Linked DNA regions of Saccharomyces cerevisiae S288C. The main gene of each other region encodes a partner of the protein of the gene in region 2 in a complex. Each region holds a gene or a part of one and is shown on either strand. Other genes may lie near its edges. The genes, in order: NUP84, NUP145, SEC13 and NUP116. A codon is read from its position in the direction of its gene.

Region 1 (6,740 bases), on a different chromosome or scaffold from region 2:
GACCAGCTACCTAAATTTTCTAAAGAAAGGGAAGTAGATTTATCAGAAATTTTAAAGCATTATTCCAGATATATGAGAAATTATGCCCGTCAAAATTTAGAAATTTGGAAAGAAGTCAAAAGACATCAAGATTTTGCATAGTATTATGAGCATTTTTTTTTAGCGTTATAGCATACTTGATATATATATATATAAACAACGTGAAGATCAAATAACGTCAAATGTATTAAATAGACTAAAATATTATGCACTTCTCTTCGGATTTATTGCTCGCGGGCTGGTTGACGTTACATGGTCCATTCCACTGAAATGTTTTAAGAGATGCCTATATGGCCAACTCAAAGTTTTGAAAAAGGGAACTAGGTTCACATAATATGGGGCATTTAGTGTTTGCAGATGATTATGCTCCATCGCAGAGATTATCGCTAGTGCCAGTTGGGAAGGTATGATGTCAGGAGCCAATAACTTAGATGGTGTAGGGACATCAATAAACATATTAGTTTTGATTTTTCCCGGGCACACCAGTAGTGTTTTTATTCCAGTTTTATTACATTCCGTGGACAAACTTCTGAAATGCCTGCTCATACACTTGTGAAAACCAATCATTGCTCCTTTTGATGCACCATACGATGTCAGCCTTGCAGGAGTCAGTTCTCCGAGGACTGAAGCAATGTTAATTATAAAGCCTTCCCTATTGTCTATCATATCTTCTGCAAATGTACTGATGATTCGGTAAGCACCTATTAAGTTTATGTCGATCAATTGTTCTACCTCCTTGTTTGTCATATGTTCTAACTTTTTGATGTGAGCAACACCAGCATTATTTATAATTATATTAATGTTGCCATGATCTCTTTCAATAGCTTTTTTCAAATTTTTAATTTCATCTAGACTTGTTATGTCGCATTGATAGTAGAAAATGTTATTATATTCTACCTGAGCAAAAGTAGGAAATGATTGAATATCTGCCACAATAACTTTATTAATTCTTCTGGAAAGTTCCTTTGCAAGTTCAAATCCGAGTCCACTAGAACCACCGGTTATTAGTGCAGTTGCATTTTTAGAAAGGATGGAAGGGTTGTAGCTGGGCAGACTTAGGATGACTGATGGAAAATCCTTGAGGTGTTTTGTAGTTCCACTCGCTCTATTTATTTTATTCTTGCGTACCATAATTAATAATATTTCTTACCCATAAAACTATGTTAAATATGTCACTGAATCTCTATTGAGGTGTCCTTTTGATGATGCGGTTTCAGATATGAGAAATGTTCATTCAAGAAGTGTCACAAATTCTGTTCCTCTGCTGACGCCCGCTACATATTGACGTTCAAAAATATAGAAGAAAAAGGCAGTAAAGCGTTAACATAAGAAAACTAAAGAGCAAGTCTGATTTGGCACTACCACGCTTCCAACAGAAGTAATTGTTGCTTCAAATAAGTTCGCAGCATGTGGATTCAAGTCCACAGATGCGATATTTAGGAGCCCAATCAGATAATATTGATTCCGGGTTATCTCTTGTTTGTGTCGGCACAGGGGATTTAAATTGTGTAATGCTCAAGACAAGTTATTGATGAGAACAAGAGATGGTATATAAAACTGCTCTCTGAGGTATAGCTTTTGTTGAGGTAGGCATACAAGATTTCGGGAATGAGCACTATTAGTACCACAACGGCACCTGAGTTTATCAGAGTAAAGAGAAGAAGGGATGAGGATTCTGTGCAGGCATTATGTATGTGTTGTTATTCTACCGATATAACAAAAATGCGTTTGACTAACTAAGTTCATCTGGGACAATTCAGTAATTGATGAGGGGAAAAGAGTGAAGAAGCAGAAGTTCATATTTAAATTATCAAAGACTGTGAGCTCTGAAAGCTATCAATCCGAGCAAGAGTCTTCTACGCCACTCTTAAAACTGGCTCATGAAGATCATCGACATTTTGTATTGGAACAAAGAAAAAAAAGTCGTAGAGACTCAGATGATGAAAAATCACAACAGCGGCTTGCAGCAGAAGGAAGTACTGTAGATGACGATGGGTTACCGCCAGAGATCAATCAAATGGTGAATGACTATTTAAAGTTGAATAAAGGTGTAGAAAAGACAGAAAGAAAAAAACCAAGTAGGAAATATTTTACTGGGGATTCTGCAAAAATTGCATCACTACCCAGTTTAGATTACGTTTTTGACATCTACCATTTGGAGAAAATTCATGACGATGAGGTTGCTAGATATAACAACGAGAAAAATATAGGGTTTGTGAAAATTATTGAGCATATAGATTTGGCTCTTGATGAAGAAAGTGATCCCAATGAAGCCCGTTCAGACGATGAGGATTCTAATGACGAAAACTATTACCAAAATGATTATCCGGAGGATGAAGATGATGATAGATCTATTCTATTTGGTAGCGAAGGAGAGGATATAGCTGCATTGGGTGAAGAGATTGTTATAGGGGTTAATAAGAGCAGGTTTTCCTCTTGGAATGACGATAAAATTCAGGGATCTAATGGGTACCACGATGTGGAGGAAGAGTACGGGGATCTTTTTAACAGGCTTGGAGGAAAAAGTGATGTCTTGAAATCCATAAATTCCTCGAATTTCATTGACTTGGATGGCCAAGAAGGTGAAATAGAGATAAGTGATAACGAAGATGATTCTGATGAAGGAGATGATATTGAATACCCTAGAAATGAATTTTTTCCGACGGATGTTGATGACCCATTGGCGCATCATAGGGACAGAATTTTTCATCAGCTACAGAAAAAAATTAATAGAAGCTAAATTTGCCGTCAGAAACTGTTCAATGTATGTAAGTAACTGCATCTGTAATTTTATCTTTAGATAGTAGAAAATTCATGTTTAACCGCTTTTTCACTTCATGAACTTTTTTTTCTCCGGTGTGGAAACACAAAGATTCAAAGCAAAACTATAAAAAATCACGTCAATTACTTCTGAAATAGATAGAAGAAATGCATAAAATTATTGCTGTTTACTTAAAATATAAACTTATTCTGCAATACATTAATTGATCAGTTCGAAAGGGTTGCTGTGCGAGCAACGAGATCCAGATACTCTTTTAACTTTCCACTAGATTGGAATAATAAATAAATCTTGTCGTTCTCATTAGCGACCAATGAGGTAAATGCCAGGGCTTCCGAAATAAATTTTGGGATCTTTAACAACTTTGCGGCTTCCACTAACTTTTTATGCAATTCCATCAGTAGAAATGGAGTATATAGGGCTCTAATCTCATACAGGATTTCATAATCTGCCGAATCCGCGAAATTAGAGGAAGTTAAATCTACTAAAAATGTCTTGATCAATTCAAATGTATCCTTTGAAAAACCTTGCAATTTCTCTATTAAAGTAGGAATGTTCGATTCAGAGCTTAACAAGCTAACGGATTTTTGCCATTCTTCATATTCTCTTATGCCCTTTATCAAATGCTCATATTGAGTTATTTCTTCCAAAAACTGATCTTCATTTTCATCCTTTGATATGTTATCGGCTATTTTCTCTAATTCATAATTCTTGCATATTTCTCCAATATTATTTCTCTCCATAAATTGTTCGAGAGCCTTTACGCGGCCATTTAACAAAAATCTCCTCGATAAGGCAATGATAGAGTGGACAGCGTCCACATAAAGCTTCCCTTCAATAAGCCATTCCACGCCATATATTAAGTGCATATCAATGTTGTTTACATCGAAAGATATGGAAATTTCGTTAGATGGTGAATATTCTTGTTCGGTTTCATCGAAAACACGCTGTGTGGTTCTTCTCAAAATATTTGAGGCAGGTAATCTTAGAAAGTTTATTGTCTCAATTTGCTTTTTCCTTACTTGGGGGTCCTCTAAAGAAGACAATATGAAAGAGCATGCCTCTAAGCAGTCTGACTCATTCAGGAAAGTAGCATATATTGGAATATTTTCATAAAGGCCTTGCAATTTCAGAAGACTGATATACGTAGTAATGAGCTTGGACTTATCAACCTCTTCAACAGAACCTGGATTAATTATATCAAGGCAAATGGCTAAATGTGTAACTATCCTCAGAAGATAAGGCTTATCTATAATATCGTTACTAGCTTCGGTTCCCTTGACGACATCAAGCAACATTTCCACGGATGAATGAATAACTGATGGCAAAGAATCTAGTATGACAGATGCCATTAAAACTCTGATTGGATGTTCACTTTCTGAGGGATGCCTTGAAGCCACTCTATTAAGCACCTCTTGTACAGTTAGCGCGTGTGAAGGTAATGGTAAAATCAGTTCATCAGTACCTACTTGATTGTTTTCCAAAAGATAATTTTCAATTTCAGTTTGTAAAATTTGATTTAAGTGTATGTGCAGATCAGACTCCCAATCCGAATATTGCAGAACTTCTTGGTTGGGAATAGCGCCACTCAAATAGCTGTATATCGCCCTTTCATAAGGGTCCAAACCGGCCTGCTGCGAAAGGCTGTAAACTGTTCTTCTCCACAAAGAGTGCTTCTTGATACCTTGCTGGGTATTGAATTCGTTTGCAATTTGCGTATCAATGACAGGGTTTAAGTACTCTTGTATCCCACACAGGATCATACAAATTGAAATATTGTCGGAAAGTTTAGCTTCTTCTAATGCTTCATCAATCGCACCGGCCAAAATTAGTTCGTAAATGTATTTGAAGAAAATATGATCTTCTTCTTTATCTTTAACATCGAGGACATTAGTGTTTTCTCGTAAAGGAAAATCCAAGTCACAGCTTTTCAATCCTCCAGAAGTAATACTATTTAACCATTTTGAAGTTGGTACATTTTTGGGTCTTTCCATCACATATGTATTTTCTTTGAGCCAAACCATCACTATCCATATTTGATAAAGTTGTTTGTTGTCTTGCATTAATTTCTTTTCAAATAAACCCCTCGAGTTATAAGGATGAAGTTCCATTTCATCTAGATCAAGATCAGCGTTCCTGAAAACCAGTAACAGTTCTACTAAATGCCAAAATCTAGCTTCCAGTTCCCAATCCTTAGAAGATATGACGTTACTTTCATCTCCAGAATTAGCCAAATCTAACGCAAGCTGCCCCGCGGCTGAGCGAAACTCTCTTATGATGTTAAACGGGTCAATGGGGTTTTGCTCATTATTTTGTTCAATTTTGAATTCCTTTAAAGTGTCTGAGAACTTTGTGAAGCGTTCTGTTTGATAAGTAGGGGATAATTCCATTTGAAATGGCTATGTATTTTACTTCGAAGTAGCACTCAATTGGTTTTCAGGTTGAATTAGCTGATATACCTCGTTTTCGGACTTGCCTAAACAATTCAAATGTCGTATGTATTTGAGCATTTGGTCTAATTTTTCATATTTTCTTCACCGAAAACATCACTAAATACGAAAAAGTTGGACCAGCATAGCTTTTATGAATGCAATGGATAAATCATTAAATAATAAGTACTATATAGCCATATATGAGTTATGAAATTCACCTTCCTGAGTAGAATGTATGTTGAATGATACAGATTATAGCGCTGTAAAAAAATTTGTGAAAAACGTTTATACGCACAACCATTCAGCAAAAACGGACCACCCAATACCAGAGTCAGCGATCACTAAAGCGCTCCAGACGCCGGGCTCTTTGATTTTAATGCTTCCTTTCCAGGTACCATAAGGAAAGTGGGGATCGCTCTTGACTAGCTCATGAACTCTTCCTGAGGGTGATTTTATTGCCATTGGTTGTTTCCTATTTTGGTTCGGCCCTTCATCACTGCTGTATACAATACCATCGGAGGGACTTTGAATAACTTCGAATGAGTACTCATTACCAACAAATAGATATCTACTCTGTGGCTCGACAATGTATAGCTCAATCTTCTGAATGCTTTCTGAGGGTATCTTGATCACAAATTCGTATTTCATGTTACTTCCCTTATGTGTTAATGGGACCATCATGGACAGTGGATGGATATTGGCAATACTCGTTTGCGTACCTCTTACACCTGAATGTATGTACAGTGAACCTTTGTTCACATTGGGTGGTAGGACTGCTTTGATTAGAGCAATTCTTCTACCAGACTCGGCTTTCTGCTTTTTGATTTGGGTCAGTGCGAGTTCCATATTCCTGTACGCAGATGAAGCTTCTTCATTATCCGTTGGAATAACCACGGATGCAAAGACTTCAACGTCATTGGGAATTTCTAAGGAGCATTCGTAGATCTCAGAATCTTCCAAAAATGATAGTGCAGTACTAAATTTGTATAACTTTAACTCATTTTTGAAAAAAGATGGAAAAACTAATGGCAGATACAATGCAGATAATTGATCGATACTAGGAACAATATGCTGCTCAAATTCCCTAGGCGGTATATGTGTGTATATCATTTCTAATGGTGCCATCAAAAAGTAGCTATTTTCTGCTTTCTTGATCTTTCTGTTATTTACAAATTCATGAATTGGGTTGGTTACATTTCCTAAAATAACGTCAATAAATCTCCATTCTTTGTTAACCAGTATTCTCAACCAGCAGTGGTTATACTTAAACTCCCAATTTATAGCACTCGGTGTTTTCAGGAAACCTATAACAATTTCACAAGTGATTCCCAATGAGTTTGCTAATTTCTTGAAAAGCCATGTCAATTCATATGGCGTACAATGCTTTCTGTATAGTATTTTCTCTAAATTTTGGGGTTCCGCAGAAAAATCTGACGTTCCATTATCATCAGTCAGAGCAAACATCTCTGTGCAAAAAATGTATATGCCTC
Region 2 (8,532 bases):
TTAAATTTGAGACCAGGCCAACCAATGTACAAGAGAGAGGCCAACGCTGATGCTTGGCACTGGTTGCAACTCAAGCCAGGCCAACCAATGTACTGAAAAATGACCCTAAACTACTTCTAAACCCTCTCGATTTCTTTCACGTTCATACAACACCTAGTTTTATTTATTTTCTTTTCAATCTGAGTAGTTGAGTTTTCGATCACTCACATAGAACTATTTTTTGCCATTTAAATAAAGTATTCTCTCAAATGATGCGATACTATAATACTCTTTGCCATATATTACATTCATTCATAAATAGGCTATGTTTCTATATCCGTTTCCGATTCTGTCTGCAAGCAAGGTTCCCTATCATTACCGGATTGTTCACTATGGTTGGAGCTCTTCTTTTCCCCTGCACTTGCATCAGTCTCAGATTCAGAACCAGAAATGTCTCCGTAATCTTCATCCGATCTTCCTGCTGATATTTGAATACCATTGTCTTCTAAAGACACTAAATGTTTTTGAACATCACTGCTACTATCAGATTCAAAACTTATTGATTGTGTGTCATCTCCAAAAGAGGTAATATCATCGTACTTTTCACTGAGTTTATCTTTAGCAGTAATAATTGGCCTTTTAGAAAGTCCGAAAAATTGAAAGTCATCAAAATCGTCGTCTTCCATTTTGATCACGGATTGATTAGATATTTTTCTATTAGCTCTCCTCCGACTTGTGTCTTTCAACTTCTTTTGTAAATTTTGAGGCTCTACTACCGTCTTTCTTCGTTTCATTCTTTTTCCTGGAGAGTTTAACTCAGAAATTGGCTTTTGCACTTCCGTATTAATAAGCGCAGAATCTAAAACATCATCGTCAGACAATTTGATATTATTTTGTCGCAGAATCTCATGAAGCTCTCTTATTTTCTTCTTCTTCTCATTCAACAAGGTTACCATCATTGCTCTGGTTCTTTCATCACGTGTTTCTAAAAGCTTATCCAATAGCTCCCTTTCCCGAGCCAGCTGTTCAACTCGATTTCTATTGCTAGAATCGCTCTCCTTTATATTCCGGTAAGAATCGTTAACACAACAGATATCTTTATAGAGTTTATCTGCCATTTCAAATAAATCAATCTCTCCCTTTTTGACTGGATGCAAGGTAAGTTCAGCGATTTTTCTTATGATCGCCGATGACTCCAACTCCATAACTACTTTCCATACCTCATCATCTTGCATTCTGCACGTCCATTTTGTGAATACGACTTTTTCGTCTAACGATGCAATGTACACTTTGTGACCAGTTAACATTTTGAGTAGTTCATACCACACATATTTCTTAGACTCTTCATCGATATTTTCTCCCGTAAAGATTCGCAAATCATTGATTCCAAAACTGCTTTTGGAAAAAATTCCTGTACCTTCACTTACCAACATTTTCTCTATTCTAAGCCCTGAAAGACTGTTCTCATCTAATGTTTCCAACATAGCGCCATCTTCAATCTGAATCTTACAGAGGCCACGCTCATCTTCTTCATTTTGTTCTTCATTAACCACAGGGATACAGCTAATGAACTCCGTCAGCTGGGACATAGCACCCTACATAAATAAGTCATCCAATGCACAATTCTCTCAGTTCTATGCATTGACACGTCGAAAACTGCCGTTCATCTTATTATTCTTTAATATGGCTTTTCAAAATACGCTTCCGGGTACTTTTTCGGATTCATTAATGGTGTAATTAGTAATGCGTAGAAATATTTTGTATATAATAATAAATAACATGTTTGTCCAACAACTCGTAGGCTAGGCTAAACGTGAAGTCTTTCTGTTTTTGAGAACAACAGTATACATAAGTGATATCCAAGAATGACTGAGATACTACCACATGTAAACGACGAAGTGCTACCAGCAGAGTATGAACTTAATCAGCCGGAACCAGAACACTGTCCTGGTCCAGAATCAGACATGGCAGGTAAGTCCGATGCTTGTGGTGGCTGCGCCAATAAAGAAATATGTGAAAGTCTTCCGAAAGGCCCTGATCCAGATATTCCATTGATCACAGATAACTTGTCAGGAATAGAACATAAAATATTGGTTTTATCAGGCAAAGGTGGCGTAGGCAAGTCGACATTTGCCGCAATGCTAAGTTGGGCACTTTCAGCTGACGAAGATTTACAAGTAGGTGCCATGGATTTAGATATATGTGGACCTTCTTTGCCACATATGTTAGGCTGCATTAAAGAAACCGTCCATGAATCGAACTCCGGTTGGACACCTGTCTATGTGACTGATAATTTAGCCACCATGTCTATTCAATATATGCTTCCAGAAGACGATTCCGCCATTATATGGAGGGGTTCAAAAAAGAATTTATTGATAAAAAAATTTTTAAAGGATGTTGATTGGGATAAACTCGATTACTTGGTAATCGACACACCGCCCGGAACATCTGATGAGCACATTTCAATAAACAAGTATATGAGAGAATCTGGCATAGATGGTGCCCTTGTGGTCACCACACCTCAGGAAGTAGCTTTATTAGATGTACGGAAAGAGATAGATTTCTGTAAGAAGGCTGGTATCAATATTCTTGGACTAGTGGAAAATATGAGCGGATTTGTATGTCCAAATTGCAAAGGAGAGTCCCAAATATTCAAGGCTACCACAGGTGGAGGTGAAGCACTTTGTAAGGAATTGGGCATCAAATTTTTGGGGTCTGTTCCGTTAGATCCGAGGATTGGCAAGAGTTGTGACATGGGTGAAAGTTTCCTGGATAACTATCCTGACAGCCCAGCTTCGAGTGCTGTACTTAACGTTGTGGAGGCTCTGCGAGATGCTGTGGGGGATGTATAGTATATTTTATCAAAAAGAATAAAAGGAAGTGCATTAGAGGTCAAATCGTTTTATAATATAAATATCATTACCTTTAAATCTTAGACCTACTGAAGAACACTTTTACCATATATAATGCTACTAATTACTCCAAAAGCGTTAGCTTCAGTCCATGTTTTACTATTTTTCTTTTTTTTAGAAATAAAAATAAAAAAACTTATATCTTATATGTACACTTCATTAAATCCTGGGCAAACTCACCCCTCAAGTATGCCTTTTCTGGCTGCCCTAGGGGGAGCTCAAGCAATTTGGCCTTCGAATCGCCTATTGAAGGATTGTTTTTCTCCAATATTTTTGATACAATCTCTTGGGACATAACATTACAACATGCGGCCACTTCACGACAGTGCTTATACTGATCATAAAATATCTTCATACCACTAATTAATGAATCGATAGTCTCCTGCGTTTCAACATTATCCAACACAAGCTTTAGATATACTTCAAATACGTTTATACTTACACTCCATTTGTCCCTCTCAGAGTCTGGAAATTCGTTAAGAATTTCCCTCAAAGTTTTCAGTTCATTATTCTGTACAGGATTGTTTGATAACAACAGCCTTGGTCCTAATGACGTAACAATAGCCATTTCTGCCAAATCATAAGACGAACCCAGGAGTAGATTTTGTACTTCAGAAAGGTAATTGCCTTCATATCTATCTTTCAAAGCTTGAGCATTGAATATCAATTGCGAAGGGATCTTTAATCTATTTAAAATGTGATCATTGGTAGAGGCTCTTAACAATGTTATTTCACGCATAACAAGCCTTTTTATGGTATCTTCTGCTGCCTTGTCATCATTTAAAAAGCAAGAAACAAAAAGAGAGTGGCCATGTAATTGTGCAAATTCAAGTTGAGCGGCAAATGCGAATGTAGCCTCATCGCTAGTTTCCTTCGAAAAAACGCGTGTTCCATTAAATCTCAATGTTTGAATCAAGTACCAGCAAAACTGAACATCTAAAGCGTTGGTTCTTTGTCTAACCTCCTTATAGAGCTTCTCCGTATTTTCATTAGCAGCATATAGTTGGAAAATAACTCCAATAGGATCATCATAGGGTAAAGAAAACTTGTCTAAATGCGATTGCACAAGAGATTCTAAGGAATACTCATCTATCTGGCCGTAGCACAGTGTCAAATTCAAAAGGCACAACCAACTGAATTCACTTTCAAGTTCCTTAAGAGAAAATAAACCTTCAAAAGGTGAACCGCTTAGTAATTTGTAAATCTTCGAGATATTCTTGTCGATACTACAACCACCAGTTGACCACTTTTGCAATTGTAATTCCGCTAAATCACGTATCCTTGGGTCGTTTGAACCCAAATAGGATATCAAAACGCTCAAATGACCATTCTTAGACTCAATTGCTAACTTGGATGCCCTTACGACATCATTCAAGAGCAAATATAGAAATATTTGTTCTATTTCGTTAGAAGAATTCCTAATTTTCTCTTCAATTTCCGGACCTATCTGGCTAACAATCCACGAAGTTAATCGACAATGCCTTTCTTTTTTTAATAATGCCATTTTTACTTGATCATTGTCCGTCTTGTATGGATAGGAAACGGGGTCGAATAAAATAGATGAAAGTTTCCATAGATTGTAATCACTAGAGGTTTTTTCCATATAATCTAAAGCATCTTTAAAGAGTAAAGAGCTTTCACTAATTTGTGGGTATGGGTTTGACTTCCTTGCTTCGATAGTAACCTTTTCAATTTCTTTATCTAAATAGACGTCATCGAATAAAAATTTTCTTTGCAACTCAGTTGGTAAACGCTTAATTGAAACGCCCGATTTACCAACAATATCTTTTGTCAGTAGCATTGAACCTGTTGAAAATTTTGCAAACGTATAAGAGGCTGTAAATCTTCTTTCCTTCATGATGAGTTTTGCGTTATCAATTTCATCATTGCATTCGGAAAAGAGTAAATCTATTTCATTTTGACATGGCCCGTCAAATTCTTTAGAAGTGGCAAACACAGAACGTAGTGAAGACCCAGCTAAAATTAATTGTTCTACCCAATCCTTAGAAACGTCAAGTTTAGGGGAAGCTTCAATTCCCTCAAAGTCCGCATCAGACAAATCAGGTTCGTATGCCTTTTCCTCAACGATAGAGTCGTCTTTACCTGATAGAGTTCCAAAAGTGCCATCTGTTTTGAGGATAACCTCTTTATCCGATGGTTTTGATTGCGCTAACGTGCGCACCTTTCTTAATGGTTGCTCACCGCCGTCTTCTTGTTTACTCAAATCGTCTTCATCTATTTCCGCATCTTCTTCATTGACTAACCCCCAAATGCTAAAATGATTGACTTTGAAAGTCCAAGTCCCGCCAAAGGGATTATAGGATATATAGTTCATTTCCCTCATGCTTCTTAGTTTCCTGTCAAAAACTTGAAATTCAGCAAACTTCGTCGTATCTTTCATCGGTTTTTTTGTTTTTTTATCTACAGGATAAACATTCTCTAGAGTGATTATAGCGGGAACGTTTAACCCATGCCCAATCATTGGTTTGGTGGCTTCGTCAGGATATACTTCTACTGTCTTAGAGGAACGAAATATTACAATTTTACCGAATAGTTCTTCTCTAAAGCTTTTGGTAAAAGCTGTGAGATCCACATCATGTTGAAATGTAATACAACCATAACCTCTTCTCCCGATAACAAAATTTGAAACGGCCGCTAATTGCTTCAATGACAAACGCTCCAGCTGTTCTGGGGAAGGAGAACACCAATAACCAAAACTTGATGACTTTTCATGTTGTAAAGTATTTTCGCCGTCTTGTTTATTCAAGTTATTCGATTGCTCCTTTCCATTCAAATAAGTGTTATCCAAATTATTATCTCTATTTTCTTTCCTGTCAATGTTAGTGACACTATCAGCATTTGCAATTGGCTCATTTTCCGATGAATCTTGTTCGTCTTGCATATGTTTTTTTGTGATGGCGGGAGTACCAGAGAGGAGTTTTAATTTTTTTGCAGCACTTCTGTTGGAATCAATTTTCAATTTACGCAGCTCTGTCAAGTCGGCCCTTTGGGAGGATAGGAAATTAAAACCATTCTGAGGAAAGATGCTGTTTTCATTTGGAGCCAAAGAAGTCATCTTTGAAGAAAAAAAGTCATCTACTAAGGGAGCTGAACCTGCTCCATTCAGCCACGGTTTACTGTAAGACGGTGAAAATATTTCATTCGGTGACGTGCTTTTCTGAGTGGCTTTCAGTCTCGTGCTTAGTCTACTCACTAAACTTGACTGTGAGGCGAGTGGTAAAGGAGCGTTCCCTGAAACTGAGGAAGAAAACGAATATGTTCTTCTATTTTCAATTGGTTTGGGTTCCGCATCTGACTTGCCATTCACATCTGATAGAGAAGACGTAATAGATCTTGGCATGTCAGCCACTGCCATAGGAACATTACTTATGTTAATTCCATATGGGTTGGTTGACATGGTTCCAGTAGTTTCACCGGATCTTGGGAATGAAGCACCATTATTTCCAAACAATCCCCCAGTTGTTGAAGCTCCCGGCTTTTGACCAAAAATACCTGTAGAACTTTGTGTATTATTTGATCCAAATAATCCTGTCGTTGAGTTTGTCGATGAGGAATTTCCAAACAGGCCGCCAGCACCAGCAGGGGTTGTAGTAGGCTTACCGAACAGACCACCATTTTGCGTGGTAGAAGTTATATTGTTATTGTTGCTATTACCAAACAAACCACCATTTTGGGTACTAGAGGCTATATTATTGCTACCACTGAATAAACCTGTAGAGCCCGTAGAATTTGCTGTGGCATTATTATTTCCGAATAAGCTTCCGGCACTTTTAGAAGTAGTATTGTTTGTAGCGCCAAATAAGCCACCTGATGGTTGTGCTGGTTTATTTCCAAATAATGAATTATTGGCGGGTTGTTGACTTATAGAATTAGCGTTTGAATTGGCATTGAATAATCCACCAGATGGGCTAGGTGTTGAAGTATTCGCATTAACATTAACGTTCCCAAATAACCCAGTAGATTTTTGAGGGAATTGAAGGGAACTGGAAGGCTGTGCCGGAGTGGATGTCGGTGTGGATGTGTTTTGGTTTCCAAAGGTGAAACCACTATTTACACTTTTATTAAACATAAGGTGGCTACTGCTTCTCCTTTGCTTGTGGTTCTAAAAAGCAATAATAATTGTGATAGGTAACAGGAAACAACAAACGAGTTAATTCTTTCTAATTTTTTATCTTTCCAATGGTGATGTGATTGTTGTTTTTGTCCAAAATTTTTTCGAGCTTTTCTTCAAATTGTTTGAACTTTCCTGCCGGCGGGGCAGTTAAAAATCTTTCGTCAAAAACTAAAAAAAAGTGATGAGATATTACTAGTCATCGTTGTCCTATTATAAACACTTTACGTAAACTCTAAATGTATTCTACTTTTCGTAAATGAAGGAAGAACTCCACTGATCTTGTGGGTTATCCTGTCAGAGAGGACTTCCCGTGACGGTGAGTAATCTTGTTGAGTACTTATGTGAACTTTCATTGGAATTTGCCCATTTTCCGAGAATACGCCCTGAGCAAATGAGACAAGGGATATAACGTAAAAAAATGCAGTCTTGTTTCTTCTATCATAATCCTTGAACTGCAAAAGCGCTTCCTCTTCCTCAGTTTGAGTAATTTTCACCGGAAACAAGAGCTTTAGTAATTTTATATACTTCAATAATGGTCTCCACTTTTTCATAGCAAAAAAAAGGTTCGAAAGCATGCTATCTTGATGTTCGGCTTCAACATTCTTCAACAACATTGTGAATAAGTGGTAACTCATATCGTCATTATTGCTGTCATTCATAACTTTCATAGAACTTAACGGATTATTTTTAAAGTTTGCTAGATTAATATCCACTCTCAAATCATCCAGTTGAAGAAATGCAATTGAAAGTGTTGCCTTTGAGAATTTCAGAAAGCGTACCCCCGTTAATGACTCCAAAATTTTGAGAGTATCTCGTAATTTTGGCAAGTCAAACCGTGTGAACAGTTTTCGTTTTTCAATTTTCTTGTCTATAGAGGCGACTTCACTTCTTAAAGTTAGTATATCATTAGATTTTTTTGCAATAGCTAATTTAAGTGAACGCATTTCTTGGGTAAAATCATTGGAAGAACTCAACGATATGGAATGTTCCATTAACTCTTGTTTGAAAGCCTCAATTTTTATTCTATTCATTAAAGTAGGCTTATAAGAATCGGATGGTAAGTTTTTTAGGGACCTTATCTCTTCCTTTATTGCTTCATTAAGTTTTCGTATTTTGCCTCTGATGCTGTTAACTTTTTCAACTTCTTCGTTTAATTTTTCGTACTCCCTTTTCAAGGTATTCAAATTTTCTGCCAAAATTAATTCCAGACCATTTAGTTGCTTTTTCCTCCATTCATACCATTCCATTGCTGCCTCCAATTTCGAATATCCTTTGACCAACTGTAGCTGGTCCCTCATCAATTGCTTCATTTTCTCATCCGAGGAAAAATACTCCTGGAGCAGAAGAGGGGGATGGGATTTATCAATTTGGGCCTCAAAGTCCTTGAATTTATCCTTGGATTCATTAATACTTCTCCAAAGCTCCTTGCATCTGAATGCTTCCACTTCTAAAATGGGTATATCGATATAGAAGGCAGAAAATACGTTATCTATCCTTTGATTCTCC
Region 3 (5,165 bases), on a different chromosome or scaffold from region 2:
ACCTATAGGTAGAGCGTGCATAGATCTGGGCTTAATAAATCAATACATCACAAACAATATTTCTCAAGCAATTTCGTATTATATGAAAGCTATGAAAACACAAGCTAACAATGGAATCGTAGAATTCCAATTATCCAAATTGGCCACTTCATTCCCTGAAGAAAAAATCGGCGACCCATTTAACTTAATGGAAACTGCCTACTTGAATGGATTCATTCCAGCCATATATGAGTTTGCAGTAATGATCGAATCTGGAATGAACAGTAAGAGTAGTGTGGAAAACACTGCTTACCTGTTCAAAACATTCGTTGACAAAAACGAAGCTATTATGGCACCTAAACTGAGGACAGCATTTGCCGCATTAATCAACGATCGTTCAGAAGTGGCTTTATGGGCTTATTCCCAACTAGCCGAGCAAGGCTACGAGACTGCTCAAGTCTCTGCCGCCTACTTAATGTACCAGTTGCCATATGAGTTTGAGGATCCTCCAAGAACCACAGATCAGAGAAAAACTTTGGCAATTTCCTACTATACAAGAGCGTTTAAACAGGGAAATATAGATGCTGGTGTTGTCGCGGGAGATATCTATTTTCAGATGCAGAATTACAGTAAAGCTATGGCTCTTTATCAGGGTGCAGCTTTGAAGTACTCTATACAGGCTATCTGGAACTTAGGGTACATGCATGAGCATGGGCTAGGTGTAAACAGAGATTTCCATCTTGCTAAACGTTACTACGACCAAGTTTCAGAACACGATCATAGATTTTACTTGGCTTCCAAATTGAGTGTTTTAAAATTACACCTAAAGTCATGGTTGACTTGGATCACCAGAGAAAAAGTAAACTACTGGAAACCTTCCTCGCCACTTAACCCTAACGAAGATACTCAGCACTCGAAGACTTCATGGTACAAGCAATTGACGAAGATTCTACAAAGAATGAGACATAAGGAGGATAGTGACAAAGCTGCGGAAGATTCTCACAAACACAGAACTGTAGTGCAGAATGGAGCTAACCATAGGGGTGACGACCAAGAGGAGGCTTCCGAGATTTTGGGCTTCCAAATGGAGGATCTTGTTACGATGGGATGTATCTTGGGGATATTCCTATTAAGTATATTAATGAGTACACTGGCGGCCCGTAGAGGCTGGAATGTCCGTTTCAATGGAGCACAATTAAATGCAAATGGTAACCGGCAGCAAGAGCAACAACAACAACAACAAGCACAAGGTCCCCCGGGCTGGGACTTCAATGTTCAGATATTCGCCATATGATGTGGTTTGTATAGATATATACATAGACTATCCATAGAAATCACCCACGCATTACCCGAAAGTTTTCAATAAAGCGAACAGCGAGAAGAAAAAAAGCGAAACCGACAGAGAATTACCACCCTAGAGCTTTAACCCCATTGAGATCAACACAATTTCGAACAGTGAAAGTGCATTGGCGAAGGTGATACAATTGGCTTCCAGCTCTGAATAATAATAACTTACAAGCGCAAAGATAACAGATAATTTTATATCAGCATACAAATGGTCGTCATAGCTAATGCGCACAACGAATTAATCCATGACGCTGTTCTAGACTATTATGGGAAGCGCCTTGCAACCTGCTCTTCTGACAAGACAATCAAGATCTTTGAAGTCGAAGGAGAAACACACAAGTTAATAGACACGTTGACTGGCCACGAAGGCCCAGTTTGGCGTGTTGATTGGGCACATCCTAAATTCGGAACCATTTTGGCATCGTGTTCTTATGATGGTAAAGTGTTGATTTGGAAGGAAGAAAACGGTAGATGGTCTCAAATTGCCGTTCATGCTGTCCACTCTGCTTCTGTCAACTCTGTTCAATGGGCTCCTCATGAATATGGCCCCCTACTGCTGGTTGCTTCCTCTGATGGTAAGGTCTCCGTAGTAGAGTTCAAAGAAAACGGTACTACTTCCCCAATAATCATCGATGCTCATGCCATTGGCGTTAACTCTGCTTCTTGGGCTCCAGCTACCATCGAAGAAGATGGTGAACACAACGGTACTAAAGAATCTCGCAAGTTTGTTACTGGGGGTGCTGACAATTTGGTAAAGATTTGGAAGTACAATTCAGATGCCCAAACTTATGTTCTGGAAAGCACCTTAGAAGGTCACAGCGATTGGGTTAGAGACGTAGCATGGTCACCTACTGTTCTTCTACGTTCTTATTTGGCCAGTGTTTCTCAAGATCGCACCTGTATTATTTGGACTCAAGACAATGAACAAGGCCCATGGAAAAAAACTTTATTAAAAGAAGAAAAATTCCCAGATGTTTTATGGAGAGCCAGTTGGTCTTTGTCAGGTAATGTACTAGCTCTTTCCGGTGGCGATAATAAAGTTACTTTATGGAAGGAAAATCTTGAGGGTAAATGGGAACCCGCTGGTGAAGTTCATCAGTGAAGAGTATCAAGAATTTAAAATGAAACATCTCAAAAGAAAAAAGAATGCAAATGAGTCTATCGACGAATTTGAAGGGAAATAAACGCATAATGTACAGTAACGTATAACAATTAAAGATTTGTGGAAGTTTTCAAAAACTTTTCAACTTTTTTCTTTGTTTTTTTTTTGCAACTTCTTATATTAATATTGTCATAGATATTTCTTATACAAAAACAAGCGAACAAAAATAATCGACGTATATACAATAGATATATAAGACTGTTTTTCTTCAATAGAACAGGCGAAATTATTCTACCGGCCGAAGGTACATCTTCCCGCTATGTAATAAATAGAGGTATTTAAGTTATAACAATTATAATTCCCCCATTACGGCAGCAATTAAGTTTTGCACGTCATTAGAGGCGATTTTACCATTCTCCAGTACTTCAGCGTGAGTCGCTTTGCCTTTTTCTAAGGGTACAGGTGATTCGTCCAACGCACTGGCAGGGCTATCCACCACGCAAGTATTGGTAATCAAACTTAAGGCCAAAACCCTCCATCCGCAATGTCTTGCAACAATGACTTCGGGAACAGTACTCATTCCGACAGCATCTCCTCCCAACATCCTTATCATTTTGGATTCTGCTCTTGTTTCGAAAGTGGGTCCAGATACAAAAGTATAAGTACCTTCATGCAGTGGCCTTTGAATCTTGAGCTCTTTCCATTTCTTAAATAAAAGCTTCCTCAACTCCAGATCATATGCATCACTCAAGGCTAAAAAACGAGGTCCATCTTCATCCAAGTTAGGACCTCTCAATGGGTGCTGGCCAGCAAGGCCAGGGATATTTAAATGATCATAAATGCACATCAAATCGCAGGCTTGATATTTCGCGTTTATACCACCAGCGGCATTAGTGACAATTAAATTACGAACATGACCCATGTGGTTAAGCACTCTAATAGGAAAAGTAGTCTCAAACAATGTGTTGCCTTCATATCCATGAAGACGACCATTCATTAATACTACTGGTGAACCATTCATAGATCCGAACATTAGTGTACCGGAATGACCTGGAACCGTACTTTTCTTGAATCCTGGGATGTCTTGGTATGGGACTGTTACCGGGGGTGGATTGTCTCTAGACAGCTTGGTAGATATTCCACCAAGCCCTGAACCACATATAATCAAAGTTCTCGGAGGCTCGAAATTTGTTGTATTTTTGAAATGTGGTTCTAAAATAGCAGAAATATACGCAGCGGCCTTGGTAATTGCTTCACGTTGTTGACTTACGTTCAAGATATCACTCATCTTTTAAGTTTATTCGGAGTTTCTCATGTGTTCTAGAAGATTAGCAAGATTATCCTAAAGTTATGCCTGCCCTATCTGCCCTCTGCTTCGAGATTTTCCTTTTCTTTGCGCTTTGTAAACACTGAAACAAAAACAAAAACAATGGAAACATCAGAAAGATATTTATTTATTGTGGCCGCATAAAGTTTTAATTCTTTGATAATTAACGTCGTATTTGGGAAACTGCTTACTATACCGGATACTAGGCTGCCCTGATCAAACAAGGAAATTGACAGATGATGCTTGAAGGGTATACGGTACAACCTCCACAGTCTACTTTGATAGGTGACATTGAAATTCAGGACGAAAATGCAAACCAAGAAGTTAAGAACGTACTTTACCAAGGAGTTCAAAAGGGTATAAAAAGGCTAGAAAAAAGACAAAGGAGGGTTGCATTAGGTGATGTAACCTCTCAAAAGGCAAACAAAATACACAATGCTATACATAATAAATTCCATCAGACGAAGAACAATTTTGAAATAGAGAACATACGCTCATCGGCCTTGGTAAAAGAACAACAACGAGACGTAAGGCATGAAGATAGCGACTATTTTTTAATTGATAGTTCTGAAGGCTCTTCTACTGATGACGAACAAGTTAATGAAGATGCTATTGATGATTTGTTAAGTCGAAGAGTAAATGATCAGCAGATTCAAGCCGATGAAGTGTATGAAGATTTCGATGGAGAAATGCAAGATGTCATTGAAGAGGATGTTGATAGTCAAATTGAACCACTATCACCAATAAACAACGATGAAATTCAGACTGAGCTGGACAGGGCGTTTGAAAAATATTTTCGGTCGGTTCCCAATCCGCTGGATGATGATACCCATGATGTTGTGATGGTTGTGGAGTACGCTTCCGACATATTCTATTACTTGAGAGAACTTGAAGTGAAATATAGGCCTAATCCCTACTATATGCAAAATCAAGTAGAGCTTACATGGCCGTTCAGACGAACTATGATAGATTGGCTAGTTCAACTGCATTTTAGATTTCAACTTTTACCAGAAACGCTATACCTGACGATTAATATAGTGGATAGATTTCTGTCAAAGAAGACCGTTACTTTGAACAGGTTTCAATTGGTTGGTGTATCGGCTTTATTTATTGCTGCCAAGTTTGAAGAGATTAACTGCCCCACTTTGGATGATCTAGTTTACATGCTGGAAAATACATACACTAGAGATGACATTATTAGAGCGGAACAGTATATGATAGATACTCTGGAATTTGAAATAGGTTGGCCAGGACCCATGCCATTTTTAAGAAGGATAAGTAAAGCAGATGACTATGACTTCGAACCAAGAACATTAGCAAAGTACTTATTGGAAACTACAATAGTAGAACCCAAACTAGTGGCTGCGGCACCAAGCTGGTTAGCTGCTGGCGCGTATTTTCTGAGCAGAA
Region 4 (8,151 bases), on a different chromosome or scaffold from region 2:
GCCTGGTGCCCGTTGGTTATCGAAAATCGATATTCACCCAAGGGGTGATAATTTAATTGCGTCATCGTTTGACAAGAGAGTTTTATGGCACGACCTGGATTTGGCTAGCACACCTTACAAGACACTAAGATATCATGAAAAAGCCGTCAGAAGTGTGAATTTCCACAAAAAGTTACCTCTATTCAGCTCTGCCGCTGATGACGGTACCATACATGTTTTCCATGCCACTGTTTATGATGACATGATGAAAAATCCGATGATTGTGCCACTAAAGAAACTAACCGGTCATAAAGTAATCAATAGTCTGGGTGTTCTTGATGCTATTTGGCATCCGAGGGAAGCTTGGCTGTTTTCTGCCGGTGCTGATAATACGGCTCGCTTATGGACCACCTAGATAAATAATTTGAAGTAGATATTGTATAATAACGCCCAAGAAGAAAAAATCAAACACTCGAACCAGGCTCTTTCTACAAGCTTTATTTACACAATATATATAAACCTATATGTATAGATGCCCACACGCACGTTTGGATTATTACCTTCAATGACATTGCTAAAAGCCCATTTCCTTCATAGCATCCAACTCATCTTGATCTACGCCAAACTCATCTCCCCCTGGCAATAAATCATAATGAGTATGTTGTCCCTCTATATCATTCATTTCCCACTCTTCCAAACTTTGAATCAGTTGAACGTCTTCTTCAGTCATAGAGCCTTTTTCCATTTTTCTATGCGCATCTAGCCATCCTAATAAGAGCTTCTTCTCATTTTCTTCAAGGCCAACGGGCCCTTGTACCCTGAATGTCTTCAATAATGCATCCAAATCTTCCTTAGGCGGCACAACGTTGTTAAGTACCGTTTCATTATTCCCACGTTCGTCCAAAACTCGTCCTCTTCTGTTGCGATAAGAAAGGTGATAGATATCGTCATCTTCGTCATTATCGTAATCGACATTGTTTACATTCCTTTTGTCTTGCGCAAAACTATCTGCGACAATAGGCCTCTCTTCCGCGGAAGTGACATGTTCTTCAACCATAGGTGATTGTCTTTCCAGGTCTTGCCCAGTCTCCCGTGTGCCAACATCGAAACTCATGCCCATCTCGTCCCTAAAAAGGCTGACTCTATATTCTCTAAGAACTGGATCTGTTTTACCTACTGTTTGACAGATCTTCATAAAATCCTTAAATTTTGCCTTGGGAAACAATTCATGTGCCCAAAGCTGGTAAAACTGAATAATATTTGATAAGTTGTCATATGAGTTTTTTTTTGAGGAAATTCGTATCCTTTTATGTGCATTTTTCAAAACATATGGTAAACCTTTATCACTGAGTAGTTTTTCGGCTGTTAATTTTACTTGAGGCCTTCTCTTTCTAGCTGTAATTGCGGTTGGATCCGCAATGGTAGGATCAACTACTGAACCATCCAAGCCATTTGGTACAGTTGGGTCTTTTTGGACACTATCGGAGTCATTGAAACCTAGTAATAAACTGTCAAAATCTTGATCCATGACCTCAATAAAAGTTTCTGTTCACGTTTTCATGGCATTTTAATCCAGTATATCATTGATCTTGTTACGCGTCAGTTTATTATTGTCACTTTTGCAGATTATCATTACCCGGCATTTTTCCTTACCATGCTCATTAGAAAAAGAACAAAACTAAATTATACTTAGAGTTAATAAAGTGTCATAAGGTCGCAAAGGAAACTATCAGCATTGCATAGAGATCCCGGCAACTGAGAGGCACCATTCAGCTTCGAAGATTTCTTTTTTAAAACATTATTATGTTTGGAGTTAGCCGTGGCGCATTCCCCAGCGCAACAACACAGCCATTTGGCTCAACAGGATCAACCTTTGGTGGCCAACAGCAACAACAACAACCAGTAGCAAACACTTCTGCTTTCGGCCTCAGTCAGCAAACAAATACAACACAAGCACCTGCGTTTGGTAACTTTGGTAACCAAACTTCTAATTCTCCCTTCGGAATGTCAGGCTCGACTACAGCAAATGGTACTCCTTTTGGTCAAAGTCAATTGACGAACAACAATGCCTCTGGCTCGATCTTCGGTGGAATGGGTAATAACACAGCACTTTCTGCTGGTTCCGCTTCTGTTGTGCCCAATTCTACTGCAGGTACAAGCATTAAACCTTTTACTACATTCGAAGAGAAGGATCCAACCACAGGTGTCATCAACGTCTTCCAAAGTATCACCTGTATGCCTGAATACAGAAATTTTTCTTTTGAAGAATTGAGATTTCAAGATTACCAAGCTGGTAGAAAATTCGGTACCAGTCAAAATGGCACTGGTACTACTTTTAACAATCCTCAAGGAACTACCAATACTGGATTTGGAATTATGGGTAATAATAACTCCACTACTTCTGCTACAACAGGAGGATTATTTGGTCAAAAGCCAGCAACAGGCATGTTTGGAACCGGAACTGGAAGTGGTGGTGGCTTTGGCTCTGGAGCGACCAACTCTACAGGATTGTTTGGAAGCTCTACTAACCTCTCAGGAAATTCTGCATTTGGAGCAAATAAACCTGCCACTTCCGGGGGATTGTTTGGTAATACAACTAACAACCCAACAAACGGCACTAATAATACAGGCCTTTTCGGCCAGCAGAACTCAAATACAAACGGAGGATTATTTGGTCAACAGCAAAATTCATTTGGGGCGAATAATGTCAGTAACGGGGGAGCCTTTGGTCAGGTGAATCGTGGTGCCTTTCCCCAACAACAAACACAACAAGGTAGTGGTGGTATATTTGGTCAATCAAACGCTAACGCAAATGGTGGCGCTTTCGGCCAACAGCAAGGCACTGGTGCTCTTTTTGGAGCTAAACCTGCTTCTGGTGGACTATTTGGACAATCTGCTGGTTCAAAAGCATTCGGAATGAATACCAACCCCACTGGTACCACTGGTGGCTTATTTGGGCAAACCAATCAGCAGCAAAGTGGAGGAGGGTTATTTGGCCAGCAACAAAATTCCAACGCTGGAGGATTGTTCGGTCAGAATAACCAAAGCCAGAACCAATCCGGATTATTTGGACAACAAAACTCCTCAAACGCATTTGGCCAGCCACAGCAACAAGGCGGATTATTTGGAAGCAAACCTGCAGGAGGACTGTTTGGACAACAGCAGGGAGCATCCACTTTTGCGTCTGGTAATGCCCAAAATAATTCTATATTTGGGCAAAATAACCAACAACAGCAATCAACCGGGGGATTATTCGGACAACAAAACAACCAGTCGCAGTCCCAACCTGGTGGATTGTTTGGCCAGACCAATCAAAATAATAATCAGCCATTTGGCCAAAATGGGTTACAACAACCACAACAGAATAATAGTCTTTTTGGAGCGAAACCAACTGGTTTTGGAAATACAAGCTTATTCTCTAACAGCACAACAAATCAAAGTAACGGTATAAGTGGAAATAATTTGCAGCAGCAATCAGGAGGTTTGTTCCAAAATAAACAGCAACCTGCTTCGGGTGGCCTGTTTGGTTCAAAACCATCAAACACTGTTGGAGGCGGATTATTTGGAAACAATCAAGTTGCAAATCAAAACAATCCTGCCTCAACTAGCGGCGGATTATTTGGTAGCAAACCTGCTACAGGATCCCTTTTCGGAGGTACTAATTCCACGGCTCCAAACGCCTCTTCGGGTGGAATATTTGGGTCCAATAATGCATCTAACACGGCGGCCACCACCAATTCTACTGGTTTATTTGGTAATAAACCAGTTGGTGCGGGAGCTTCTACAAGTGCTGGAGGACTATTTGGAAACAATAACAACTCGTCTCTAAACAATTCCAACGGTTCAACGGGCCTGTTTGGTAGTAATAACACCTCTCAATCTACTAATGCTGGAGGCTTATTTCAGAATAACACTAGTACGAACACTTCGGGCGGAGGGTTATTTTCCCAACCTTCCCAGTCAATGGCACAATCACAAAATGCGCTCCAACAACAGCAGCAGCAACAACGATTACAAATTCAGAATAACAATCCCTACGGTACTAATGAGCTTTTTTCGAAAGCAACTGTCACCAACACGGTTTCCTATCCAATTCAACCAAGCGCTACAAAGATCAAAGCCGATGAACGCAAAAAAGCCAGTTTGACGAACGCATACAAAATGATTCCTAAAACTTTATTTACAGCCAAGCTCAAGACTAATAATTCCGTCATGGATAAGGCCCAGATCAAGGTTGATCCAAAGTTGTCGATTTCCATTGATAAAAAGAATAATCAGATTGCGATTTCTAACCAGCAGGAGGAAAATTTGGACGAAAGCATATTAAAAGCTTCTGAGTTATTATTCAATCCCGATAAAAGGTCATTCAAGAATCTAATTAATAACAGGAAAATGTTGATCGCATCCGAGGAAAAGAATAACGGATCACAGAACAACGATATGAATTTTAAAAGTAAAAGTGAAGAACAAGAAACGATCTTGGGAAAGCCAAAGATGGATGAAAAAGAAACTGCTAATGGGGGGGAAAGAATGGTTTTGTCCTCAAAGAACGATGGGGAAGATAGCGCAACGAAACATCATTCCCGGAATATGGACGAAGAAAATAAAGAAAATGTCGCCGATTTACAGAAGCAAGAATATTCAGAAGATGATAAAAAGGCTGTTTTTGCGGACGTTGCGGAAAAAGATGCCTCCTTCATTAATGAGAACTACTATATCTCACCATCCCTGGACACATTATCCTCTTATTCTCTCTTGCAACTGCGCAAAGTTCCTCATTTAGTTGTGGGTCATAAAAGTTATGGTAAAATTGAATTTCTTGAACCTGTTGACCTCGCTGGAATTCCTTTGACCTCATTAGGGGGCGTAATCATTACTTTTGAACCAAAAACCTGTATAATATATGCGAACTTACCAAACAGACCGAAGAGAGGGGAGGGCATTAATGTTCGGGCCAGGATTACCTGCTTTAACTGTTATCCTGTAGACAAATCTACCAGAAAACCTATAAAGGATCCAAATCATCAACTGGTTAAAAGGCATATCGAACGCTTAAAGAAAAATCCAAATTCTAAGTTCGAAAGCTATGATGCAGACAGTGGTACATACGTGTTTATCGTAAACCACGCTGCAGAGCAGACCTGAGTTATTATATAACGAAACTATATATAGAATCAAATACAAATTTGTAATGCATTTAGTGTAATTAACCTGTTAAATTTTTGAGTATAAAATTATAGATGGAACAAGTGATAAAAAAGAGAAAAGGGACCCTTCATAGACCTGCTGCGATAATTACATCCTTTTGAAAAAGACAATAATTCATGTCGTTTGTTGCCTTCCCTTTTTCTTTTCTTTGAAAAAAAAAGAAAATGCCATCTCCTAGAATCGAACCAGGGTTTCATCGGCCACAACGATGTGTACTAACCACTATACTAAGATGGCAAACTTGGATTGTTAAGAAAAACATGCTGGGCTATACAGTACATTTACCGCATATGTACCTCTAGCCACCACCCGAACATGGAATTTATTCGTCCTGTAGTGTCAAGCGGTGCGAATGCCAAGGTCACAGCTTCATTGAAAATGATGTTGGAATAAAAATCCACTATCGTCTATCAACTAATAGTTATATTATCAATATATTATCATATACGGTGTTAAGATGATGACATAAGTTATGAGAAGCTGTCATCGAAGTTAGAGGAAGCTGAAGTGCAAGGATTGATAATGTAATAGGATAATGAAACATATAAAACGGAATGAGGAATAATCGTAATATTAGTATGTAGAAATATAGATTCCATTTTGAGGATTCCTATATCCTTGAGGAGAACTTCTAGTATATTCTGTATACCTAATATTATAGCCTTTATCAACAATGGAATCCCAACAATTATCTCAACATTCCCCCATTTCTCATGGTAGCGCCTGTGCTTCGGTTACTTCTAAAGAAGTCCAAACAACTCAAGATCCGTTAGACATTTCAGCTTCCAAAACAGAAGAATGTGAGAAGGTTTCCACTCAGGCTAATTCTCAACAGCCAACAACACCTCTCTCATCTGCTGTTCCAGAGAACCATCATCATGCCTCTCCTCAAGCTGCTCAAGTACCATTGCCACAAAATGGGCCGTACCCACAGCAGCGCATGATGAATACCCAACAAGCCAATATTTCTGGCTGGCCAGTATACGGGCACCCATCCTTGATGCCGTATCCACCTTATCAAATGTCACCTATGTACGCTCCACCTGGGGCACAATCACAGTTTACACAATATCCACAATATGTTGGAACACATTTGAACACCCCGTCACCTGAGTCAGGTAATTCATTTCCTGATTCATCCTCAGCAAAGTCTAATATGACATCCACTAATCAACATGTCAGACCACCGCCAATCTTAACCTCACCTAATGACTTTCTCAATTGGGTTAAAATATACATTAAATTTTTACAAAATTCGAATCTCGGTGATATTATTCCGACAGCAACAAGAAAAGCCGTACGTCAGATGACTGATGACGAACTCACCTTCTTATGTCACACCTTTCAACTATTTGCTCCATCTCAATTCTTACCCCCCTGGGTTAAAGACATCTTATCTGTTGATTATACAGATATCATGAAAATTCTTTCCAAAAGCATTAACAAAATGCAGTCTGATACTCAAGAGGTAAATGACATTACGACCCTAGCAACTTTGCATTATAATGGAAGTACACCTGCAGATGCATTTGAAGCAGAAGTCACAAACATTCTTGACAGACTAAACAACAATGGTATTCCTATCAATAACAAGGTAGCATGCCAATTCATTATGAGAGGTCTATCTGGCGAGTACAAATTTTTACGCTACGCACGTCATCGATGTATACATATGACAGTTGCTGATCTGTTTTCAGACATACATTCTATGTATGAAGAACAACAGGAATCAAAACGTAATAAATCTACTCATAGGAGAAGTCCGAGTGATGAGAAGAAAGACTCTCGCACCTATACGAATACAACCAAACCCAAATCCATAACTCGGAATTCCCAAAAACCAAATAATTCGCAATCAAGAACAGCCAGGGCTCATAACGTATCCACATTTAATAACTCTCCCGGCCCTGATAACGATCTCATAAGAGGATCGACTACTGAACCGATTCAATTGAAGAATACACACGACCTTCACCTTAGGCCAGGAACTTACTGAATCTACGGTAAATCACACTAATCATTCTGATGATAAACTCCCTGGACACCTCCTTCTTGATTCAGGAGCATCACGAACCCTTATAAGATCTGCTCATCACATACACTCAGCATCATCTAATCCTGACATAAACGTAGTTGATGCTCAAAAAAGAAATATACCAATTAACGCTATTGGTGACCTACAATTTCACTTCCAGGACAACACCAAAACATCAATAAAGGTATTGCACACTCCTAACATAGCCTATGACTTACTCAGTTTGAATGAATTGGCTGCAGTAGATATCACAGCATGCTTTACCAAAAACGTCTTAGAACGATCTGACGGCACTGTACTTGCACCTATCGTAAAATATGGAGACTTTTACTGGGTATCTAAAAAGTACTTGCTTCCATCAAATATCTCCGTACCCACCATCAATAATGTCCATACAAGTGAAAGTACACGCAAATATCCTTATCCTTTCATTCATCGAATGCTTGCACATGCCAATGCACAGACAATTCGATACTCACTTAAAAATAACACCATCACGTATTTTAACGAATCAGATGTCGACTGGTCTAGTGCTATTGACTATCAATGTCCTGATTGTTTAATCGGCAAAAGCACCAAACACAGACATATCAAAGGTTCACGACTAAAATACCAAAATTCATACGAACCCTTTCAATACCTACATACTGACATATTTGGTCCAGTTCACAACCTACCAAAAAGTGCACCATCCTATTTCATCTCATTTACTGATGAGACAACAAAATTCCGTTGGGTTTATCCATTACACGACCGTCGCGAGGACTCTATCCTCGATGTTTTTACTACGATACTAGCTTTTATTAAAAACCAGTTTCAGGCCAGTGTCTTAGTTATACAAATGGACCGTGGTTCTGAGTATACTAACAGAACTCTCCATAAATTCCTTGAAAAAAATGGTATAACTCCATGCTATACAACCACAGCGG

The links.
Region 1: the proteins of NUP145 (region 2) and NUP84 are in contact, whole or in part, in a crystal structure (PDB 4XMN), measured with the Saccharomyces cerevisiae proteins. Residues at the interface, in NP_011423.1 of Saccharomyces cerevisiae: Tyr852 (codon at 4,428), Lys855 (codon at 4,419), Thr856 (codon at 4,416), Asp857 (codon at 4,413), Asn858 (codon at 4,410), Gln860 (codon at 4,404), Val861 (codon at 4,401), Ala864 (codon at 4,392), Leu865 (codon at 4,389), Lys868 (codon at 4,380), Ile897 (codon at 4,293), Val909 (codon at 4,257), Val910 (codon at 4,254), Ser913 (codon at 4,245), Lys914 (codon at 4,242), Ile917 (codon at 4,233), Ser919 (codon at 4,227), Lys920 (codon at 4,224), Asn921 (codon at 4,221), Gly922 (codon at 4,218), His923 (codon at 4,215), Leu924 (codon at 4,212), Ser925 (codon at 4,209), Val926 (codon at 4,206), Leu927 (codon at 4,203), Ser929 (codon at 4,197), Tyr930 (codon at 4,194), Leu931 (codon at 4,191), Gly932 (codon at 4,188), Ser933 (codon at 4,185); in NP_010167.1 of Saccharomyces cerevisiae: His97 (codon at 4,920), Tyr99 (codon at 4,914), Ile148 (codon at 4,767), Leu153 (codon at 4,752), Lys154 (codon at 4,749), Ser155 (codon at 4,746), Cys156 (codon at 4,743), Asp157 (codon at 4,740), Leu158 (codon at 4,737), Asp159 (codon at 4,734), Leu162 (codon at 4,725), Arg163 (codon at 4,722), Asp204 (codon at 4,599), Ile206 (codon at 4,593), Ser207 (codon at 4,590), Cys209 (codon at 4,584), Met210 (codon at 4,581), Ile211 (codon at 4,578), Cys213 (codon at 4,572), Gly214 (codon at 4,569), Gln216 (codon at 4,563), Tyr218 (codon at 4,557), Asn220 (codon at 4,551), Val222 (codon at 4,545), Ile223 (codon at 4,542), Thr225 (codon at 4,536), Thr233 (codon at 4,512), Gln234 (codon at 4,509), Gln235 (codon at 4,506), Gly236 (codon at 4,503).
Region 3: the proteins of NUP145 (region 2) and SEC13 are in contact, whole or in part, in a crystal structure (PDB 3IKO), measured with the Saccharomyces cerevisiae proteins. Residues at the interface, in NP_011423.1 of Saccharomyces cerevisiae: Ile744 (codon at 4,752), Glu747 (codon at 4,743), Arg748 (codon at 4,740), Arg749 (codon at 4,737), Phe750 (codon at 4,734), Thr751 (codon at 4,731), Ser753 (codon at 4,725), Tyr754 (codon at 4,722), Thr755 (codon at 4,719), Phe756 (codon at 4,716), Ala757 (codon at 4,713), Lys758 (codon at 4,710), Phe759 (codon at 4,707), Ser760 (codon at 4,704), Thr761 (codon at 4,701), Ser763 (codon at 4,695), Leu765 (codon at 4,689), Leu766 (codon at 4,686), Thr767 (codon at 4,683), Lys768 (codon at 4,680), Lys773 (codon at 4,665), Ser774 (codon at 4,662), Gly775 (codon at 4,659), Val776 (codon at 4,656), Ile778 (codon at 4,650), Leu781 (codon at 4,641), Pro782 (codon at 4,638), Glu784 (codon at 4,632), Arg1045 (codon at 3,849), Gln1046 (codon at 3,846); in NP_013309.1 of Saccharomyces cerevisiae: Asn9 (codon at 1,559), Glu10 (codon at 1,562), Leu11 (codon at 1,565), Ile12 (codon at 1,568), His13 (codon at 1,571), Asp14 (codon at 1,574), Ala15 (codon at 1,577), Leu17 (codon at 1,583), Asp18 (codon at 1,586), Tyr19 (codon at 1,589), Tyr20 (codon at 1,592), Lys22 (codon at 1,598), Arg23 (codon at 1,601), Leu24 (codon at 1,604), Thr26 (codon at 1,610), Phe36 (codon at 1,640), Val38 (codon at 1,646), Gly40 (codon at 1,652), His43 (codon at 1,661), Leu45 (codon at 1,667), Pro55 (codon at 1,697), Trp57 (codon at 1,703), Arg58 (codon at 1,706), His63 (codon at 1,721), Pro64 (codon at 1,724), Lys65 (codon at 1,727), Gly67 (codon at 1,733), Thr68 (codon at 1,736), Tyr75 (codon at 1,757), Ser101 (codon at 1,835).
Region 4: NUP145 (region 2) and NUP116 share a complex: the UniProt entries of both Saccharomyces cerevisiae proteins name them as parts of the nuclear pore complex.

Annotation. Positions count from the first base shown.
Region 1 is NC_001136.10:250,034-256,773, reverse strand, and holds NUP84 (Nup84p), read right to left. Parts: upstream 5,209-6,740; coding exon 3,028-5,208; downstream 1-3,027. Other genes in the region: ATG20 (Atg20p), read left to right, coding at 1-141; YDL114W (short-chain dehydrogenase/reductase), read right to left, coding at 244-1,170; IWR1 (Iwr1p), read left to right, coding at 1,648-1,729, 1,800-2,779; CYK3 (Cyk3p), read right to left, coding at 5,536-6,740.
Region 2 is NC_001139.9:336,355-344,886, reverse strand, and holds NUP145 (nucleocytoplasmic transporter NUP145), read right to left. Parts: upstream 6,982-8,532; coding exon 3,028-6,981; downstream 1-3,027. Other genes in the region: MF(ALPHA)2 (Mf(Alpha)2p), read left to right, coding at 1-96; LIF1 (Lif1p), read right to left, coding at 303-1,568; NBP35 (Fe-S cluster-binding ATPase), read left to right, coding at 1,845-2,831; kinetochore-microtubule binding complex subunit SPC105, read right to left, coding at 7,248-8,532. UniProt on the Saccharomyces cerevisiae protein: Functions as a component of the nuclear pore complex (NPC).
Region 3 is NC_001144.5:558,017-563,181, forward strand, and holds SEC13 (GTPase-activating protein SEC13), read left to right. Parts: upstream 1-1,534; coding exon 1,535-2,428; downstream 2,429-5,165. Other genes in the region: ubiquitin ligase complex subunit HRD3, read left to right, coding at 1-1,273; PNP1 (purine-nucleoside phosphorylase), read right to left, coding at 2,781-3,716; B-type cyclin CLB4, read left to right, coding at 3,992-5,165. UniProt on the Saccharomyces cerevisiae protein: Functions as a component of the nuclear pore complex (NPC) and the COPII coat. It is one of 5 proteins constituting the COPII coat, which is involved in anterograde (ER to Golgi) double-membrane transport vesicle formation.
Region 4 is NC_001145.3:360,337-368,487, reverse strand, and holds NUP116 (FG-nucleoporin NUP116), read left to right. Parts: upstream 1-1,782; coding exon 1,783-5,124; downstream 5,125-8,151. Other genes in the region: ribosome biogenesis protein ERB1, read left to right, coding at 1-394; CSM3 (Csm3p), read right to left, coding at 554-1,507; YMR046C (gag protein), read left to right, coding at 5,861-7,183. UniProt on the Saccharomyces cerevisiae protein: Functions as a component of the nuclear pore complex (NPC).